Linked DNA regions of Schizosaccharomyces pombe. The protein of the gene in region 1 binds, or shares a complex with, the protein of each later gene. Each region holds a gene or a part of one and is shown in the gene's direction. Other genes may lie near its edges.

Evidence for each region.
Region 2: moe1 (region 1) and int6 share a complex: the UniProt entries of both Schizosaccharomyces pombe proteins name them as parts of the eukaryotic translation initiation factor 3 (eIF-3) complex.

Annotation. Positions count from the first base shown.
Region 1 is NC_003424.3:4,550,187-4,553,943, forward strand, and holds moe1 (translation initiation factor eIF3d), read left to right. Parts: upstream 1-1,653; 5' UTR 1,654-1,664; coding exon 1,665-3,368; 3' UTR 3,369-3,555; downstream 3,556-3,757. Other genes in the region: gmh5 (alpha-1,2-galactosyltransferase), read left to right, coding at 1-783. UniProt on the Schizosaccharomyces pombe protein: mRNA cap-binding component of the eukaryotic translation initiation factor 3 (eIF-3) complex, which is involved in protein synthesis of a specialized repertoire of mRNAs and, together with other initiation factors, stimulates binding of mRNA and methionyl-tRNAi to the 40S ribosome.
Region 2 is NC_003423.3:938,403-942,159, reverse strand, and holds int6 (translation initiation factor), read left to right. Parts: upstream 1-1,851; 5' UTR 1,852-1,898; coding exon 1,899-1,932; intron 1,933-1,988; coding exon 1,989-3,460; 3' UTR 3,461-3,539; downstream 3,540-3,757. Other genes in the region: U3 snoRNP protein Nop56, read left to right, coding at 1-1,335. UniProt on the Schizosaccharomyces pombe protein: Component of the eukaryotic translation initiation factor 3 (eIF-3) complex, which is involved in protein synthesis of a specialized repertoire of mRNAs and, together with other initiation factors, stimulates binding of mRNA and methionyl-tRNAi to the 40S ribosome.

The DNA of each region.
Region 1 (3,757 bases):
TTAGATGTAAAAAGTCCCAGACAATGGGAGCTGGAGAAGATTTCAACGGAGAACAAGAAGAAATACGCTGAAAGGCACGGATATCATTTCTTTGTGAAGAGCACAGGCTTAAAGAGACGATATGCTCATGAATGGCGTGAATCTTGGGAAAAAGCAGATTATATCATGGAAGCCATGAAGAAATACCCTCATGCTGAATGGTTTTGGTGGGTCGATTTAACAACATTCATCATGGAACCTCAATATTCTCTTGAAAAGCTTATTATTAACAGACTTGACCATATTGCGACCAGGAATATTACTGATAGCATGGAGTTCAATCCAAAAAATTTCCACGAAATTCCATTTGTTGACTATAGTGAAGATATCAACTTTATTTTAGGGCAAGATTGCAACGGTTTCAGTTTGGGTTCTTTTCTGGTTCGTCGAAGTGATTGGACTAGCAGATTGATGGACTTCCTTTGGGATCCAGTAGTCTATGGGCAAAAGCACATGGATTGGCCTCACGATGAGCAAAATGCAATTGAGTACTTCTACGAGAATAATGCTTGGCTTCGAAGCGGCATGGGATTCGTTCCTCTTCGCCTTTTCAATTCATATCCTCCAGGTGCTTGTGCTGGTGAAGGTGAAAATCCTCGTTTCTTTTATAACCAAAAAGAAGGAGACTTCTTGGTAAACTTGGCAGGCTGTAATTATGGAAGGGACTGCCTAGATGAAATAAATCATTATAAGGGATTAGCGCAAAGAAAACGGGGTTGGAGGAAGTTAGTTCCGTTTCTTTAATAGAGACCTCACATATTTCCATCATTATTATTAATATTTTAAATTCATACTTTATCATTCTTTTTCCTTGCGTGTGCTAGGCTGTCAATGCGATCCTTTATCATGTGATGCACTAAACTCTCTCCTTTGCTACTTAGCAGCTTTTGCGGTCATTTAACACTGCTTAATATTTGGTGCTTTCCGTTTTTATACATTAATTTCTTCGCAAACAATTGTTTTAATAGGATTAGATGTGTATATTTTTTATGCGACATGTGATGACAGAAAAGAGAGAATGTCTGAGAACCTTGGCGTTCATTTTTTTCTTTCTTCAAAAGACAGCGTTGACGAAATTAAAATTTTCTAAAACATGCTTTTGTCAGAAACATTTAAGCCTTGAGACAATGACTATAAAGGCAAAGTCTGATGTCGTAATCAGTTTTAAATTATAGCATAACATATCTTTTATTTCAATATCAATTTCTCCCATTTTTTAATTTAATAACATTTAGTGCTGATATAACCTGCTAGTATGATAAAGTAATTCTACCTACTATAGTTTTATAATGTAGTGAGTGGTTGAGATTTCCACATATCGTCTTCTGAATAGGCATGTGGGTTCACAAATAAAGAAGTAGTTTGATAAATACAGTAACATATACTAATTGTTAATAGATGTAGTTTTTCTACAAATATAGCACCTTGATTGCAAAAGGAAATGTATAACATTTAACTTTTTCACGAACCAAAAAGTATATATATTACATTTAAGTACTTTTGTATTACAAATAAAGCTTTAGAACTTCAAATATTACCATTGTTGGCTTTGGTGTTTTAGCGTCTCCCAGTTCGTTTGCACACTATACTGGCGTCCACTTCGAAGAAAACTTCACCACTCCCAAATGGCAACTGGATTTAAATTGCCTGAGTTAGCACCCGTAAAATCAGCATGGGGACCTCCTGAAACGGAACAGATAGGAGGTGATATTCCTTATGCTCCTTTTAGTAAAGGTGACCGTCTTGGAAAAATTGCAGATTGGTCTGTTGATCAACCTAAAGATGGACGTGAACAACGTGGACGTCAAGGAGCATTTGCTGGTCGTTTCCGTGACCAATATCAAACTTATGGTTATGGCGCGTCGTCCATTTTTGGTTATCAGCATTCGGAGGACGAATCCAGTTTCTCGGTGATCGATCGTGGTTCTGTCAATCGTACACGCACTTCCGCTCGCAACGGCGGCACTTTATTGAAGGTTCGCGGTAGAGGACAAAACGTTCAACGAGGTGGTCGTGGCGGTCGCTACGGTTCTTCTGGTGGAAGAGGTGCAGGTGATACAGTGGTTTCTAGATCCTCAGGCGCTGGAGGAGCAAGAGGTCGTCGGTTTGGTTGGAAGGATTATGATAAACATCAACGTCTTCGCAACGCCAGTGTTACTGTTGGTGACGACTGGCAGCTTCTTGACGAGGTTGAGTTCAGCCATTTATCTAAGCTCAATTTAGCTGCTGCTGCTCCTGTTACTGTGGATTCATATGGTTATATTTATCCTTATGACAAATCTTTTGACAAGATTCATGTTAAATCAGAAAAACCATTACAAGCCTTGGACCGTGTTCATTACAACCCTACCACTACTGAAGACCCCGTTATCCAAAAACTCGCTCTTAATAGTGATGCTAACATTTTCATTACGGATTCCATTTTGTCTTTATTGATGTGTTCAACTCGCTCAGTGTATCCCTGGGATATTGTAATTACTCACCAAAGTGGAAAGCTATTCTTTGACAAACGTGAAGGCGGACCTTTTGATTATCTCACTGTCAATGAAAACGCATACGATTCTCCCATGGACGCTGACAACCGCGAAGGTGTTAATTCTCCTGGAGCCCTTTCTGTCGAAGCTACGTACATTAACCAAAACTTCTGCGTCCAAGCTTTACGTGAAACCGAAGAAGAGAAATATAAATTACCTCATCCCAATCCCTTCTATAATTCTAAGGAAGAAAGTGAGCCATTGGCTGCTCACGGTTATATCTATCGGGATGTTGATCTTTCTCTCGAGACAGACGAAAAGCCTGTTAAGCTAATGGTTCGTACCGAAGTTGACGGTTATGTTAAAAATCCTGCGAACGATGTTCAATACATTTCTATCAAGGCTCTTAATGAGTACGATCCCAAATTTACAAATGTTACTGGTTCTGTGGATTGGCGTTCCAAGCTCGAAAGTCAAAGAGGTGCTGTGTTTGCCACTGAAATGAAGAACAATAGTTGCAAGCTTGCCCGTTGGACTGTCGAAGCTTTATTGGCTGGTGTTGATAGCATGAAGGTTGGTTTTGTCAGTCGTTCAAATGCCCGTGACGCTCAGCACCACGGCATTTTGGGTGTTGTAGCTTATAAGCCTGCTGATTTGGCTTCCCAAATGAACTTAAGTTTGTCTAATGGTTGGGGTATTGTTCGTACTATTGCAGATGTCTGTTTGAAAATGCCTGATGGAAAATATGTCCTTGTAAAGGATCCCAACAGACCTATTTTACGCTTGTACTCTGTTCCACCCAACACTTTTGAAGAAGCTGCTGGACCCTCCCTTGAAGCTTCTTCTACTGCTTAAAAAGGACGGATGTAGAAAGTTCATTAAAAAGGTTACATGTATAATACTCAATTACATGTGCAAATCTAAGATCTTTAAATCGGTTTTATATTTTCGGTTTCTTTATTTTTTAATCTTATGAACTGTTTCTCGGTAAATTAGAAGCTAAGTGTAAAGTAATGTATTTGTTGGAATAGTAAAAATGAAGCGAAGGAAAATTAAGTGCCGTTTAATTCATTTGGAAATATCTGATTTTCGATGCTTCCAACGTGATTTTTTTCATGAACATTGCTTTTAACACACTTTAGGGTATTACGGTAAAAAAATTAGAACTCGATTAGTAGAAAACCGATATAGCTCATTGCCACTAGCCAAGAGATCGTAAAACGGTTTCAAGCTTAGTCAGAATA
Region 2 (3,757 bases), on another chromosome or scaffold:
AAAAATGCTGCCCATGCTTTGGAAAATGCCAACGACATTTCTGAAGGCGTTTTGAATGATTTTTTGAAAAACTTTTTGGAACTCAATTTGCCGAAAGCCTCAAAGAAGAAAAAGGTGTCTCTGGGAGTCCAAGACAAAAATTTAGCAACGTCTATTAAATCCGAAATTGATGCCATTGAATGTGACACTTCTGAGCTTACCCAGGATCTTCTCCGTGGTATTCGTTTTCATGGTGATAAACTTCTCAAGCAACTATCACCCGGTGATTTCGAAAGGGCTCAGCTTGGTTTAGGACATTCATACTCTCGCGCAAAAGTGAAGTTCAATGTTAACAGAAATGACAACATGATTATCCAAGCTATTGCTATCCTTGATCAACTTGACAAGGACATTAATACTTTCGCTATGCGCATGAAAGAGTGGTATTCTTGGCATTTCCCTGAGCTTTCGAAGATCGTTGGAGACAATTACAAATACGCTGTTATTGTTACACTGGTTGGTGATAAAACCACCATTAACGACGAAATGCTTCATGATCTGGCAGCCGTTGTAGACGATGACAAAGATATTGCTCAAAGTATAATCAACGCTGGTAAAGTGTCTATGGGACAAGATATCTCTGAAATTGACCTCGAGAATATTCTATCTTTTGCTGAACGTGTTATTAAACTTAGTAATTATCGTAAACAGCTACATAACTATTTGGTTCAGAAGATGAATGTTGTTGCTCCCAATCTTGCTGAATTAATTGGTGAGATGGTTGGTGCTCGTTTGATTTCTCATGCCGGAAGTCTAACTAACTTGTCAAAATGCCCGGCTTCTACGGTACAGATTCTAGGTGCTGAAAAGGCTTTGTTCCGTGCTCTGAAAACCCGTGGAAACACGCCTAAATACGGTATTATTTACCATTCTAGTTTTATTGGAAAAGCTGGCGCTAAAAACAAAGGCCGCATCTCTCGTTTCTTGGCTAACAAATGTTCTATTGCTAGCCGTATTGATAACTTTAGCGATGCCCCAACTACGGCATTTGGTCAAGTTCTTCGTCGACAAGTCGAGGAACGTCTCAACTTTTTCGATACCGGTGTCGCCCCTACTCGCAATAGTATTGCAATGGCAGAAGCTTATGAAAAGGCATTATCGAGTGTTAACATAGACGGAGACGAGGAGGTTGACATTGACGTTGAAGAGACTGTTGAAACCATTTCAGAAAAGCCGAGCAAGAAAGAAAAGAAAGACAAGAAGGAGAAGAAAAAGGAGAAGTCTAAGAAAAAGCGTTCTGCCGATGATGCATCAGAAGAAGTCAAGAAAAGTAAGAAGAAAAAGAAGAGCCATTGAGACGTTATTTTTATTAGGATATAACGGGGACCATATTGCTCTTGCATATTTAGAACAACTTGTAATTGAAAAATTTGCTATAGATTATGGGCGTAAATACTGTAATATTACTAAATCGATTGATATCGAGCTTATCATTTTGATGGATGGACGTGTAAAACTTATCTCTTAGTAAGCATTTACATTTTATTAAGTAGCATTTATGTATTATTCGTATAAGAAGTGCTATTTATATCGAAAGTTAAAAAAATATTAGAAACCAGTATTTGACAATAATTACAATTTAAGTAAAGATCAAGAATCGGATAAAAATTTGTCTTACACATTGATTTACATTAGCTGGTAGTAAGTTCGAGCTTAATTAGTTTTATGAAAAACTATTGGTTAAAAAAAGCAAAAATATCATTAAGGAATTTAATATTTTTTGTACGAACATTGCTGACCTACTATTGTCATATTGCTTTTCAGTACTGTAGTCTAAGGGGGCTACTACTAGAGTTTTGGGTGAGTTGTGCTATCCTCCCCACACCACGCACTTTTTTTTTGCGTGAAACATATCAGATATGGGATCCGAGCTTAAGAGTACAAGCCCTTTAGGTAAGCTAATTTAGATTTATTTTTAAATACAGGAGAATGTTTTCTAACCTTTATAGCGGTCAAGTATGATTTGTCGCAAAAAATTATGCAACACCTTGACCGCCATCTCATTTTTCCTCTATTGGAATTTTTATCTTTAAGACAGACTCATGATCCAAAGGAGCTTTTACAAGCTAAGTATGATTTGCTTAAAGATACCAATATGACTGATTATGTGGCCAACTTGTGGACTAATCTTCATGGGGGTCATACCGACGAGGACATGGCAAATGCTTTTGCTGAAAAGCGACGCAGTGTTTTGCAAGAGCTCTCTGAACTTGAAGAAGAGGTTCAAGGAATTTTAGGTGTCTTAGAAAATCCTGACTTGATTGCAGCTCTTCGTCAAGATAAAGGTCAAAATTTACAACACCTACAAGAACATTACAACATTACCCCTGAACGTATAGCTGTTCTTTACAAGTTTGCTCAATTTCAATATAATTGTGGAAACTACGGTGGTGCATCAGATTTACTTTATCATTTTCGTGCCTTCAGTAAAGACCCTGAATTAAACGCCTCCGCGACCTGGGGTAAATTTGCTTCTGAAATTTTGACTGTTGATTGGGATGGGGCTATGGAGGAATTGGGAAAACTTCGCGAAATGGTGGACTCCAAAAGCTTTAAAGATTCTGCTGTTCAATTGAGAAATCGAACTTGGCTCCTCCACTGGTCCTTGTTTCCTTTGTTTAATCATGCAAATGGTTGTGATACTCTTTGTGATTTGTTCTTCTATACTCCTTATCTCAACACCATCCAAACCTCTTGTCCCTGGCTATTAAGATATTTGACTGTCGCTGTTGTTACTAACCAAAATAATGCAAATCAAAAACCTCGTAACCCTAGGCAATCTTATCAAAGAAGGATGCGAGATCTCGTACGCATCATTAGCCAAGAAAACTATGAATACAGCGATCCTGTGACCTCTTTTATTTCTGCTTTGTATACTGAGGTCGACTTTGAAAAAGCTCAGCATTGCCTCAGAGAATGTGAAGAGGTTTTGAAAACCGACTTTTTTCTCGTATCTTTGTGCGATCACTTTTTGGAAGGTGCTCGCAAATTACTTGCTGAGGCATATTGCCGTATTCACAGTGTCATAAGTGTTGATGTGCTTGCTAACAAGCTGGAAATGGACAGTGCTCAATTAATACAACTTGTTGAAAACCGTAATAATCCTTCAGTTGCCGCAGCTTCTAATGTAGCTGCCGATCAAAGTACTGAAGATGAAAGTATTGAATCTACCTCTACAAATGTTGTTGCTGATGATTTAATCACGGAAGCCGAAACTGCTACTGAAGCCGAAGAGCCCGAACCCGAGGTACAATTTGGGTTTAAAGCTAAGTTGGACGGTGAATCAATAATAATTGAACACCCTACTTATTCAGCTTTCCAACAGATTATAGACCGTACAAAGTCATTAAGTTTTGAAAGTCAAAACTTGGAGCAATCTCTTGCTAAAAGCATTTCGGAGTTAAAGCATGCTACTGTTTAGACAAGATTAGCAAATAGTTTAAAGGTGGAATATATTTCATACATTAAAAATAAAACATAGGAGTTTAATTAATTCGCTAATTTTGTATTTTCAAACAACTCGTTATTGTAGAAGATGACTGTGTACTTTCCTATTTAAAGAAACGTGCTCATTGAATATCGCTATTAGTATATTAATTTTGGAAATTTGAAACATGCGGGGATATTAAAAAAATATATATTATCTAAAATTTTTTTATTTTCTGAAGTGCATAAAAAATAAATAATTAATGCAAAAGTATTAATGCCGCTATCTCAA